Linked DNA regions of Saccharomyces cerevisiae S288C. The gene in region 1 interacts genetically with each later gene. Each region holds a gene or a part of one and is shown in the gene's direction. Other genes may lie near its edges.

Evidence for each region. Genes that interact genetically often act in the same process or in processes that back each other up.
Region 2: mutations in CRN1 (region 1) and PAU12 together harm fitness more than expected from each alone (negative genetic interaction), as found in Saccharomyces cerevisiae (2 studies listed by BioGRID).
Region 3: mutations in CRN1 (region 1) and UFD1 together harm fitness more than expected from each alone (negative genetic interaction), as found in Saccharomyces cerevisiae (2 studies listed by BioGRID).

What each region holds. Positions count from the first base shown.
Region 1 is NC_001144.5:987,174-995,458, forward strand, and holds CRN1 (coronin), read left to right. Parts: upstream 1-3,603; coding exon 3,604-5,559; downstream 5,560-8,285. Other genes in the region: TDA5 (Tda5p), read left to right, coding at 40-940; RING-type E3 ubiquitin transferase MAG2, read left to right, coding at 1,255-3,267; DNA/RNA helicase SEN1, read left to right, coding at 6,261-8,285.
Region 2 is NC_001139.9:1,078,694-1,081,168, forward strand, and holds PAU12 (seripauperin PAU12), read left to right. Parts: upstream 1-1,612; coding exon 1,613-1,975; downstream 1,976-2,475.
Region 3 is NC_001139.9:587,849-591,411, forward strand, and holds UFD1 (polyubiquitin-binding protein UFD1), read left to right. Parts: upstream 1-1,977; coding exon 1,978-3,063; downstream 3,064-3,563. Other genes in the region: transcription factor TFIIIC subunit TFC4, read right to left, coding at 1-1,621; SCM4 (Scm4p), read left to right, coding at 3,466-3,563. UniProt on the Saccharomyces cerevisiae protein: Functions at a post-ubiquitation step in the ubiquitin fusion degradation (UFD) pathway. Has a role in the endoplasmic reticulum-associated degradation (ERAD) pathway.

The sequences.
Region 1 (8,285 bases):
AAACAGCGTTTTTTATACTAACATGACGAACTAACCTAGGTCTCTAAGCGACTCGATAAGCATTTGTCTAACAATCTATACACTACTGATAAATGCATTCCTCATTGCTAATTCCTATATAAAGCGGTCGGGACAGGTCGCCTGGAAGAGCCTTCGTGAATTTAAGAATGGCATAGTTCTTATTACTGGAGGAAGTAAAGGACTTGGACGGGCCATAGTATCTCAACTCCTACAAGACTACAGCAACCTGACCATCTTGAATGTCGACATATGCCCATCATCAGTGAGGAATACTCGCGTGAAGGATCTCATCTGCGACCTGAGTGATGATGAAGAAGTTGCAGCACTACTGAATTTGTTGAAAAGAAAGTATAAAAATGAAATCCGATTGATTGTGAACAATGCTGGAGTAAGGGCCAACTTCACCGGATTCAACGGCATGGAACGGGATAATCTTGATAAGATTTTTAAGATAAACACATTTGCACCACTTCAGTTCATTCAAGAACTGGCCCCTAGTAGACACTCAACTAGACAGTGTTATATTGTCAATATCGCAAGCATTTTGGGCATATTGACGCCGGCCAAAGTAGCAGCTTATGCGGCGAGCAAAGCAGCATTGATAGCCTTTCATCAGTCGTACAGTTTTGAATTGCAAAACGAAGGCGTAAGAAATATCAGAACACTATTAGTGACCCCAGGGCAACTGAATACGGAAATGTTTGCAGGATTCAAGCCTCCTCGCCAGTTCTTTGCCCCTGTAATAGACATTACTACTCTAGCTGCCAAGATAGTCCGTTATTGTGAGCTGGGTCAGAGGGGACAGCTAAATGAACCCTTTTATTGTAGTTTTGCTCATCTTTTGATGTGCGTACCTTATTCGCTACAACGCATTGTAAGAAGCTTCTCTCGCATAGATTGCTGCCTCCCGGACGAGTAGAAAGCTATACATAGTAAATAGAATATTTATAGATGAATCCGAGTAGACAGCCTTGGTGTTTGCTTATACATTCTTTGCAATTATGCACGCCCTCATTACCGTTGCTCATATTTTTGGGCATTAATTGTATTTTGAAAAGTGCTCGTTCAGGCCCGTGTAAAAAAAGGTGATGAAGCAAACATTATAATAAACACTTCTGAGAAGCCACGTGTAGAGGGGTAAGCTATATCGTAAACACCGTTGGATGTGGACCACGGTGCACTGATAAAATAAAGATATAGTAGTAGAATCTGTTACTAATCTTAACACTTTTGATGGTAGAACCGGACATGCAGAAGAAGGCAAGTGGTGGCAGTGGCGGTTCCGAGATGGATACTTTAAATGCTACCAGCAACAGTAGTAAACAAGGAGTTTCAAATAATAAAAGGAATCCGGTCAGTAAAAAGAAACCAGGGAATAAGGTCTCTGATGGAAGAGATAATGCACATAATTATCACGGGGAAGGCCGCAGAAAAAGTAGCAAACAACAGAGGTCAAGAACGCCCTATAAGGAGACTAGTACTAGGATCAATGATCAAGATATAGATTTATCTATCCAGGAAGAAATTCTTGGTGGTAATTTCAAATTACGAGGCAGGAAAACTCAAGTTTCCATTAATCATTTGTTGAATTTCCAGTTACCTGAAGTCGAAAGGGAAAAAAGTAGGTCCTCTTCAAGTAAGAAATCGAATAGGAGACGCGATGAGCACGTACATTTACACGGTGACACATTTGTTAATGTTAATTACCGTCTTTTGGTAGATGATCGTTTTGACTACCCAGAGCAAAACTGTAACCCGAACGTTCCTGTCGATCAAGAAAAGATTCTAAGAGTCATAGTGCCAAAGGGTCAGAATTGTTCTATTTGTCTGAGCGAGGAACCGGTGGCTCCCAGAATGGTTACTTGTGGCCATATTTTCTGTCTAAGTTGTCTCTTGAACTTTTTCTCCATTGAAGAAACCGTCAAAAATAAAGAGACTGGGTACTCAAAGAAGAAGAAATATAAAGAATGCCCGCTTTGTGGAAGTATTATTGGCCCTAAAAGGGTCAAGCCTGTTCTGTATGAGGACGACTTTGATGTAACCAGGTTAAATCAAAAACCCGAACCTGGTGCCACAGTACATCTACAACTGATGTGTAAACCACACGGTTCACTATTACCTTTGCCAGTAGCCTTACATTTAGACCCTCTAAAATGTGGAAATTTCCCTCCCGCAAACTTAGGATCAATAAAGCATTATGCGCATATTATGAAGTGTGGCGTGTCTTACTCCTTGGAGCTCTATCAAAAGGACATTGTTGCTATTCAGGAACAATATGAAATCGACAAGGCCATTTATAATGATAGTGGAAAATTTGTTAAGCAGTCGATTGAAAATATCAATGATCAAATTTCGACGTTGCTGGCTGCAACCACTGATTTGAGCCCACTTTCCAACGATATTAACAACGGTTTGGACAATTTTCATTTTGATGACGATCTCTTGACCAAATACGATGATTCTTCCGCTTATTTTTTCTACCAGACGTTGGTGGCATCGTCCACGAAATACTTCTTATCTCCACTGGATGTAAAAATCTTATTGACTATTTTCCACTATTATTCCAAGTTTCCAGAAAGCATCGAGACGACAGTCGAAAATATACATTATGATACAGTGGTAACGGAGCAATTAATCCGCCGCTACAAGTACATCGGCCACCTTCCAATCGGCACTGAGATTGCCCTTTTAGACTTGGACTGGCGTAAAATACCATTCCTTCCCAAGGAAATTTACGAACAGTTTGCTCATGAGCTAAAACAACGTCGAAGAAAATTCACAATGAAAAAGCAAAAGGAAGATAAGGAAAAGAAACTATATGAAAAAAGGTTGGAACAAGAACATGCCGAGTTCTACAGAAAGGAAAATGGCAATTCTCTCAAGTTTGAAGACTCTGTACAGATGGCTACCCATTATGAATCCATTGTAAGCTCTTCCATACCTCTCAACTCCTTAGGAATTTCTATGCTGGGTCCACCGACAAATTCCTGCTCTACTCCTCAAAAGCAAGCGCCCTCCCACACGAAAAGAACAATTTGGGGGACATCAATTGCAGTGACGGAAGACGAAAAAGCATCAAAGGAGAACAAAGAATTTCAAGATATGTTATTGCAGCGAATAAGGCAGGAAGATAGTTCGGATGTCACAGATTCGACGGATTCTCCTCCTACAAGTAATGGTAAGCGAGGCAGGAAGAAGAAAGGTAAAGTCATGCTATTCAGCAGCAATCATCAAGCCTTGGGTTAGGTTACAGCATGTTCTGCTTAAAAATCTCTTTCCAAGCCAGAAATGTGGGAGGACCTATTCTATATCATTTCAAAATCGAACTCTATATCTTTATGTATAACTTCAAACGCTATTGCATATAAACAATTACTCATATATAGTCCAAATGCATTCATACCATGTTATACTATTCAATTCTAGTGTCGTTGTGCGTGATTTTTCACTTTTGACCGTAAATAGAATTTCGGTGATATTATTTTAACTCTCGAAGAAAATAAAGTAGATTCATGTACACGTATATCAAAAGAGTACAGTGAAAAAGGGATAAAGGATACACTCCACTTAGAAGGGCGCAAGATGAGTGGAAAATTTGTTCGTGCTTCTAAATATAGACACGTCTTTGGCCAAGCGGCCAAAAAGGAACTGCAATATGAAAAACTCAAAGTGACCAACAACGCATGGGACTCCAACTTGCTAAAAACGAATGGTAAATTTATTGCGGTGAATTGGAATGCCTCTGGAGGTGGTGCATTCGCTGTCATTCCGATCGAGGAAGTGGGCAAGGCTCCAGATCAAGTGCCTTTGTTCAGAGGCCACACTGCGCAGGTCTTGGATACCGATTTTGATCCGTTTAATGACCACAGGATTGCTTCCGGTTCCGATGATTCTAAGATTGGTATTTGGGACATACCGGAAAACTACAAATTTCACGATCATGTAGATGAAGATGGAGAGCCAATTGATATCAAACCAGTAAAGTTTTTGACAGGACACGCAAGGAAAGTTGGACATGTTCTTTATCATCCCGTCGCTGAGAATGTATTAGCATCCTCTTCAGGTGACTATACTGTTAAATTATGGAATGTGGAAACTGGAAAGGACATGATTACTTTGAAACATCCAGATATGGTCACATCCATGTCATTTTCGTATGATGGTAATTATCTTGCCACAGTGGCTCGAGATAAGAAACTACGAGTCTGGAATATCAGAGAAGAAAAAATTGTTAGCGAAGGGCCTGCCCATACGGGTGCAAAAAACCAAAGGGTGGTATGGTTAGGAAACTCTGACAGATTGGCTACTACTGGTTTTTCAAAATTGAGTGATCGTCAAATCGGTATTTGGGATGCCTTCAACATTGAAAAGGGAGATTTGGGAGGCTTCTACACTGTCGACCAATCATCAGGTATTTTGATGCCCTTTTATGACGAAGGGAATAAGATTCTTTACTTGGTGGGGAAAGGTGATGGTAATATTCGATACTACGAATTTCAAAACGACGAGCTGTTTGAGTTGTCTGAATTCCAATCCACAGAAGCACAGAGAGGCTTTGCTGTAGCGCCTAAGCGAATGGTGAACGTCAAAGAAAACGAAGTCTTAAAAGGTTTCAAGACTGTCGTTGATCAGCGTATCGAACCGGTATCTTTCTTTGTTCCAAGGAGATCAGAGGAGTTCCAAGAAGATATCTACCCGGATGCACCTTCCAATAAGCCAGCTTTAACTGCTGAAGAGTGGTTTTCTGGCAAGTCTGTTGAAGGTCCAATTCTCGTTAGTATGAGATCTATCTATGACGGTTCCGCACCAAGCTTTCATGAGGCTAAAAGACCTCAACAGCCAACAACTCAAGAAACAGCTCTTGAAGAGAAAAAGGAGCAGCCTAAAGTGGAGAAGCCAATCAGCGAATCCGAAAAGGAGGTGAAACAAGAAGCTCCAAAATCTCCCTCACCGCTAAAGTCGGCCTCCTCATCTTCTACAATCAACCATGTATTAAAGGAAGATAATTCGATCAACAAGTTGTTGAAGAAATCCTCCGATATTGATCAAGTTAACAACGCCGAAGATCCGTCTAGGGATACCTCCGGATGGGAAGAAGCCGATGATGAGCCAGCTCCTATCAAAATCGAAACCCCAGTCACTCCAACAGAAACTAAAAAGGATCGCACACCTAAGGTCGAACCTTCAAAAGAATTGAAGCCAGAGCCAGTGTCTATCGCAACAGATAGAAAACAGGAGCAAAGCTTACCTCAAGAAGAGAAGTCCTCTGAGAAAACAAAGTCCCCTGAGCAGGAAAAATCCGCAACACCTCCTTCTTCAATTACGGCTGCTAAGACAGCCATTACTGCCAGCAGTAAGGAAGAGCCATCCGCGGCAAGGACATCACCTAAGTCATTGGGTTTAAAAAAGTCTGTCGAAAAACTATCTACATTGGTTCTGCAATTAGAAGATGTAGTTGATAAATTAACGAAAGCAAATCTTGACAAAGATGAGCGCCTGTTAAAGTTGGAACAAAAAATTGGCGAACTGTCAAAATGAAAATTTTTTGTACTTTTAATGATAAAATTAAGTGAGTCCTTTTTATAGGAAAGATGTATTTTGATTATATGTAATGTACATAAGACGGCGGCGATAATAATGCACTTAGAAAGTGAATCATGTTCACCTGTCCACTAACAAAAAAGGAAACAAAATGTTGCTTTCCCACAGGAAAAAGAATGTTTTTGACAAAACACTAAGCGTTATGTGACCAATGTATAATTGTCCTCATCATATAGTTTTATGCAAGCATAAATAAGTCTTTCTTTTAGTTAAAACGCGTTACATAGTAAAGGTAACCCTGAATGAATTTTTATTTATATTTTTCTTCGCATATTTTAGGATCTTGAAAAATTAACCACAAGTTAGAAGTTGATGAGATCAGGAATTCTAACAAAAGGTCATTGGTTAGGTTTATTTTGTAGGTGCACGTTTGCAACTTTATTCCTTTTGTTTCAAAGTTATAGAGCTTTCATTTTCTCATTCTTCTCTAGTGTAGGTCATTTCTCCTGCATATTAACCTACTAGAAAAGTTTACGAAGCTTCATAGGAACGAATAATCGATCACTTTAAAGGCTTCCCGCACTTTAATCTTATCATCTACACCTACAAAAAAGCTCTACTTTGTCATTTATTTTCTACTTCATCTCTGTATGGCATCTATCTCTATATATATAAAAAAGCGCATCTGTTTATTATAAATGAATTCCAACAATCCTGATAATAATAATAGCAACAACATTAATAATAATAATAAGGATAAGGATATTGCCCCCAATAGCGATGTTCAGCTAGCTACCGTCTATACCAAGGCAAAGTCTTACATTCCTCAGATTGAACAAGTTTATCAAGGCACAAATCCAAATATTCAAGAGGCAAAATTATTAGGGGAGTTATTACAAGTTCTAGCAGAAGTTCCCAAGGGTACGCATTTATTTTGCGACCCCATACTTGAACCAATATCAATTTTTTCCCTAACCATTTTCTCATTCAATGAAGAAGCTACGGCCACATGGCTGAAGAATCATTTTAATCCAATTCTCTCTGTTTGTGATAAATGCATTCTAAATTTTGCGAGAGGGAAGTGCAAAATGTTACAACATTTTGCCATTCAAAGACATGTGCCGCATGAACATGTAGCCAAGTTTAATGACATCGTATGCCAATGGAGGGTGGAGGCTGTTTTTCCTATTCTTAGAAATATTTCCGTTAACGATAATACGGGAATTAACATTACAAATGAAATTGAAACTGCAATGTACGAGTGTCTCTGTAATCCGCATATGTTGAGGCTTAACAAGCAACTTAAGGCTACTTTCGAAGCAATCTTCAAATTTTTCTACGACACAAAGCATCGTTTGTTGGACGTTACGAATCCATTAAGCATAAAAACCTTTATATCAGGTGTCATATTTTGCTGGTGTGAAGGTTCAAAAGAGGAAAATGAGTGGTCACGAGCTTTTCTAAAGGATTTATACTCAAGAAATTTCCATATAAATCTTTCTAACCTGACACCGGATATTATTGAGGAAGTTTATATCCATATTTTATTCTTACAGAATCCGGCAAACTGGACAGAGATTGTGGTATCTCAATTCTGGTCGAGATTACTACCGGTTTTCAATTTATTTGATAAAGACGTCTTCATAGAGTACTTTCAGGTCCCAAAAAATGTGGAATCTTTAAAAAAAACATTCAAATTTCCGTTAGAGCCAATTTTTAAAATGTGGTACAATCACTTAAGCAAATCATATCATGATAAGCCACTAGACTTTTTGTTAAGAGGATTAACAATGTTCTTGAATAAATTTGGCTCCGAGTTTTGGTCCAAAATTGAACCCTTCACATTCCATAGCATTTTGGATATAATTTTCAATAGAGATTCATTCCCAATCAAACTAATCAAAATTCAAGACAATCCAATTGTTGAGCATCAAACAGAAGTTTACTTTCAACTTACCGGTTCTGTAACCGATTTACTTTCTTGGACCTTACCATTTTATCATGCACTGTCACCATCCAAAAGAATTCAAATGGTTAGAAAGGTCTCAATGGCGTTCCTGCGTATAATAGCCAATTATCCATCCCTAAAATCCATTCCCAAAGCTTGTTTAATGAATTCAGCAACTGCCTTGTTGAGGGCTGTGTTGACTATTAAGGAAAATGAAAGGGCAATGCTTTATAAGAATGATGAATTTGAAACAGTACTGTTGACTAAAACAGATTCTAGAGCTTTGCTCAACAATCCTTTGATCCAAGACATAATAATTAGATCAGCTTCGAATCCTAACGACTTTTATCCTGGGCTAGGTGCTGCTTCTGCATCGGTGGCCACATCCACGATGATGGTATTGGCAGAATGTATCGATTTTGATATACTGTTATTATGTCATCGAACGTTTAAGCTTTATTCAGGTAAACCAATTAGCGAAATTCCAATTTCAACCAACGTCTTGGAAAATGTTACAAATAAAATTGACCTGAGATCTTTTCATGACGGTCCATTGCTGGCCAAACAGCTGCTAGTATCTTTAAAAAATATTAATGGTCTTTTGATAGTACCGTCAAATACTGCCGTAGCTGAGGCACACAACGCATTGAATCAGAAGTTTTTGCTGCTATCAACGAGATTAATGGAAAAATTTGCGGATATTTTGCCCGGTCAACTGTCTAAAATCCTTGCGGATGAAGATGCATCGCAGGGTTTTTGGTCCTGCATATTCTCC
Region 2 (2,475 bases), on another chromosome or scaffold:
AAAGAAAAGGACTAGATATAAAAAGTGAAATGAATATAAGATAGCGTTAAGAGATGTCCGCAGTACTTGACACATAATTTAGCGTTTTCTCGGGAAGCTCTGTGATTTTATGATTCAATAACACAGCGTAATTGATTTCGTGATAGTTCGATCCTATATGTAATCTCACGTAACACTCAGGCGAGTTACAAAATCGATTCAACATTGCCGGCTTATGCGTTTACGTCAAGTCTGAGCATGCCTACCCCCTTCCGAACCCGCCTTTTATTGTCTAGCCTTCAGATGAACTAAACCAATCATCTGTCCATAATTCCTCTGCTTTAGACAGTGTTATTAAGCAAAAGAAAATAAGCGCATAAGATTCTTGCTACTTCAGTAACTCCACAACATTAACACCCCACAATCAATATCTAAAAGCCAATGAAGTGAAGATGAGAGGTGGAATGACGGTCTTATCCTTTGAGAAGTTTGACTACTAAAATCTGTGTCTCCTATACCATTAGTTATTGAGCTATAACTATATACCAGAGAAGTGTAGTAATTCTTCAGCAACGGGCCTATAATCTGGATACGTATGATTACTTATCGCTGTAATAGTTGTAAATTCCTCGAAGAAAAACACATGACCAGAATGATAGACATATTGAAACAGTGAATAAAAGGGAGAAAAAGGCTTAAAGGATTTCTGTATTAGTAACACTAAGCCCTCTATCAATTTCATCCAAACAGAAAGACTGCAGGTACATCCATAGGATAGAAGTTCTGTATGTAATCCGCCACTTTTTGTCTCCTTCATGTACCATATAATGAATAGAAAAACGTAGACCTAGGCGGCAACCGTTGCCTACCATACGAAGCGCTGATGCTGTTCTCCGATTATTAGTATTACAAAAAAAATTATACAATACTTATTAAGATGTTAACTTATCAATTTCCGGTATAGTTTCCGCTATGGTCAGCTTTGTCCAGTGGAAGTTCCGCTGTTTCAGAACTAGAGCTTCGTAGCACCTCGAATGCTCATTTATTCTTGTCAACATTTTTGCTGGCAGTGTATAAGACTGTAGACACCTACAATATACGACTCCGGTATTCGATAAGTCTTTCACTTTCTATTTTAAGAAAAACAGAATCTACAATTTTCCCGTAGCAACCGTTTAGCGCACAAAGATTAGATGGCCTCTGAACGAGGGTTCAAAGCAAATTTGGTTTTAGCTTTTTCTTGGCCAAAAGCTGCAGCTGCATCTCTGAAGGCACCCTAAAGGGATTCTTCGGAAGTATGTACACTGTGAGAAAACATTCTTGTGCCTTGGAAATGCAATAAAAAGGTATAGGCACTATGAAGCGTGCGCCTCGTATACGGGACCTATGAAAGACGCATCGTTCAAGTACAGAAGCACCGTAATAATATGAATAATGAATGTGGGATGAACATTGTACACTGAGGCATTTTAGGTGAGAGATGGGTGCCAGATGATAACTCGTTTGTGCCAGGGAAGTTGGCAAGACATTCATATAAATAGAGCTGCTGTAGCTATCCATCTTTGAGGTATGCGCTTTCATTTCACTATTTCTTGTTAAGCTTACATCAGCACTAAAAAACAAAACAAATACAATGGTCAAACTAACTTCAATCGCTGCTGGTGTTGCCGCCATCGCTGCTACTGCTTCCGCAACCACCACTCTAGCTCAATCTGACGAAAGAGTCAACTTGGTTGAATTGGGTGTCTACGTCTCTGATATCAGAGCTCACTTGGCCCAATACTACTCTTTCCAAGCCGCTCATCCAACTGAAACCTACCCAGTTGAAATCGCTGAAGCCGTTTTCAACTACGGTGACTTCACCACCATGTTGACTGGTATTGCCCCAGACCAAGTGACCAGAATGATCACCGGTGTTCCATGGTACTCCAGCAGATTAAAGCCAGCCATCTCCAGTGCTCTATCCAAGGACGGTATCTACACTATCGCAAACTAGAGACAAACGCCTTTACGAACGAAATTCCATAAACCTTAAGAAATAACGAAAATAAAAAAAGCTTTTTTTTTTTGATAGTATAAATAGTTCATTATATGTAAGTGTATATTAATATTGTTACTACTGGTCAATCGTGATATTTATGAACAACTTGGCGGAGCAAGGACAAGAATCCTCTCTTCCTTTTGTGGTATTCTTCGATGTGTGTCCACTTCAACGACATGGGTCATCAATATCTATGTTGAAAAAATCATATTTTAGGATCACTTGCTAGTAAACCGGTTGATGCTATTGTTAATATATAACGACAAATGTTCAAGCAATTATATAACCATTTTCTTCCATATTCACCTTAAACGAGGTCGCCTTTATTTTTTTTTTTTTTTTCAGGGCATCGATCGGCCCGGAGTCGTCGCCTTCAAATGTGTCAAATTTTTAAGATTAAAGTTATCGATCTTGAAGTTTTTCGTGGCAGGAGGGTTTCTATTTAGTGTTCGGTA
Region 3 (3,563 bases), on another chromosome or scaffold:
ATACACGAATATCTAAATCATCTGGTTCAGATTTTATAGCTAGTTCATAAAACTCTTTAGCCGTTTCATAACTTTCGATTTCCTTGTAGCATCTTGCTAGTGGTTTGAAGACGTCAGTGGTACGCCATTCCTCAAGGGATAACAACGGCGTAAAGAAATCGATAGCCTCTTTATACTTTTCAGCCCTTGTTAAAGCAGTTGCAGCCTCAAAATATAAATCCGCAACGTCACTGAAAGTCTCATCATACAGGCATTGAAAATGATTCAGAGCTTCAACAAGGTTATCTGTGTTCAATCTTAACAATCCCAATCTAACTCTAATATCGATTGGAATGTTATACGATTTTTCCTTTTCTGCGGCAAGTAGTGAATCAAAGGTACTGTTTTTAAACCTTCTATTGTCAAATTCTGAATCATCTGGAACATGATCCCAAAATGTCTGGCTTTCGCGGCGTTGAATCCACCGTGCACATTTTTTAATTGTCTTTATACCATCGACCTCACTAACTGCGAGTTTTAAGAAAAGTTCCGCGAGAATGTTCAAAGAAGACCAGTCAAATGGTATGCATTTATATTTTGCATCAATTTTTTTCCAGTTGATGTCAGGAAACATCTGCCTATCTTCATCTTGTTCAAGGGGTTCCTTTTCGTCTGCATCCTCCCCTTCTGCGGCGCTTTCTTCGTCTGAAGAATCTAAGGCATTTTCTAAAGCAGCTAATATCGCTTCCCTTCTCTCAACATTAGCATTAAACACTTTCATATAGAGCTCAATTGAATCTTCAATCCGATCATAATCAACATAAAGAATGGCCAACTCCCTCAATATGTTTGCATCATAAGGATTGTACATGTAAAGCCTTTGAAATCCATCTAAAGCTCTTGCTAACTGTCCTGTCTTCTTGTACAACATAGACCGGCGATAAATTGATTCCCATTCCATAGGATTCAAACTTATTACCCTGGAAAAGCAGTAGATGGCCTGCCTAACATGATCTAAATCGGCGGACAGTATAGCGACTATCTTCCAGAATTCCCAATCGGAAGCATTTAGGTGAGCTGCCAGGAACCAAGAGTTACAACAATCATTAAGCCTTCCTTGCAATTGATATATATCTCCTAGGGTCTCGTAAGCAGCAAAATTACGTGCATCTTTTTTAATTACCTCATTAAATAATCTTTCGGCCACTTGTAAATCATTCCTGACAAAAGCTTCATTGGCTTGAGAAAGTAATTGCGCTACCTCTGGATCAAGCACTCTTTCTTTTCTTTGGCGGCCGTAAGATTTACCTTTGTCATTTTTCTTCTTCTTTTTTACCTTAAAGTTACTTGCTTCCCTAATCGCGTTCATGAAATCTTCCTCATCGTCTTCAGATATTTCACCGTAGTCCGAGAATTCTGCCAACAAAGAACTGTCTCGTTCGGAATTATATTCATCTTCGCTTAATTGTAGATCATGAGGTACATCCTCGTCATCATATTCCTCATCTTGAATCAAATGCTTATAGTCATCAATATTTCCGTATAGATGCTCTTCATCCTCATCGTTAACTTTACCCGTATCAGCGCTTTCTCGTTCAGCTGATTGATTTTGCTGTTCCTTTTTCAATTTTCCTGCTGCCATCACAGATACACTTGAGGGTTTCTTTCTCTAGCTTCAGATTCATTGTTGACTGGTGTTATTATACACAGTGCGCTGCCATTATTATCGTTCTTCTATTTCTAGCCGAAGCGCCTTAAAAAAAAAAAGTGTCCACTTTGGGAAACTCGCCTTTACGACGAAAAAGTCAAACTTGCGTTCTACGAAAGAGAAGAATTCCTTTTTTGGGTTAGGTGGCGAAAAATAAAGGTAGTTAAAAGTAATCCTGGCTGGTCTATGTGAATAGGGAAGAGATAATGATGTAGTTTTCAATAGATAGTAACACATACCATAGCAAGGGAGGAAAAAATATCAAAGTGATACTGTAAAATATAATAAAAATGTTTTCTGGCTTTAGTTCTTTTGGCGGCGGAAATGGTTTTGTAAATATGCCTCAAACGTTTGAGGAGTTCTTTAGATGCTACCCTATAGCTATGATGAATGATAGAATACGGAAGGATGACGCAAACTTCGGCGGGAAAATATTCCTGCCACCAAGTGCTCTAAGCAAACTATCCATGTTGAACATAAGATACCCCATGCTTTTTAAACTAACTGCCAATGAAACTGGACGTGTGACACATGGAGGTGTTTTAGAATTTATTGCTGAAGAGGGCAGAGTTTACTTACCACAATGGATGATGGAAACTTTGGGTATACAGCCAGGATCTCTACTGCAAATTTCATCTACTGATGTACCTCTGGGCCAGTTTGTGAAGTTAGAACCTCAGTCTGTAGATTTCTTGGATATTTCCGACCCCAAAGCAGTTTTGGAAAACGTACTGAGGAATTTCTCGACTTTGACCGTGGACGATGTTATTGAGATTAGTTACAATGGTAAAACTTTCAAAATTAAGATCTTAGAAGTCAAACCAGAATCATCATCGAAGAGTATATGTGTCATTGAAACAGATTTAGTAACAGATTTTGCTCCACCTGTAGGATATGTGGAACCGGATTACAAAGCGCTGAAAGCTCAGCAAGATAAAGAAAAAAAGAATTCTTTTGGTAAGGGCCAAGTTTTGGATCCCTCGGTGCTTGGCCAGGGATCGATGTCCACAAGAATCGACTATGCGGGTATCGCTAACAGTAGCAGAAACAAACTATCTAAATTTGTAGGTCAGGGACAAAACATATCTGGTAAAGCTCCGAAAGCGGAGCCCAAGCAAGATATAAAAGATATGAAGATAACGTTTGATGGCGAGCCCGCCAAGCTAGATCTGCCTGAAGGCCAATTATTCTTTGGTTTCCCAATGGTCCTACCGAAAGAAGACGAAGAAAGTGCCGCTGGTAGCAAATCCAGTGAACAAAATTTCCAAGGCCAAGGGATCTCACTAAGGAAGAGCAATAAGAGAAAAACGAAAAGTGACCATGATTCGTCCAAGTCCAAGGCTCCCAAAAGCCCGGAAGTAATCGAAATTGACTAAAAGATATATACTAGTATACAACAATATAGTGTCTTTGACAGATATATAGAGCATTTTCAAGTTAACAGATCTTAGAATCCAAGTATCTTATGCATCGCATTAGCTCTGCTGCATTTGCTGTTCGTTTAGTAAAAATAATTACGTGCGCGGTTGCGCGATATTTCCCTTGCTTAATGCCGAAGTAATTCTCTTCGTTTACCCATACTCGAATCTATTGTGTTGTTGAAAAATAAAAAAAAAAAGAACCAGGTTATATAATTGTGAGTTGATCAGTATATAAATGAGAGAAAAGAAGTTTCTATTGTTCCAAATTATATCCAAGCTGATTTTTTAACCCTTACCTCACGAAAAGCAAGTTTAAGACAAACACTCATAAGAATCCTTACATATACTAAAAAACAAATGCAAGTCTCCCCAGCTATTGTAAAAGGTATCGCAGTCTCATCATTAGGTTTATACGCCGGTATTTTAACTTCATCTACCGTGATTTCTATTACCAC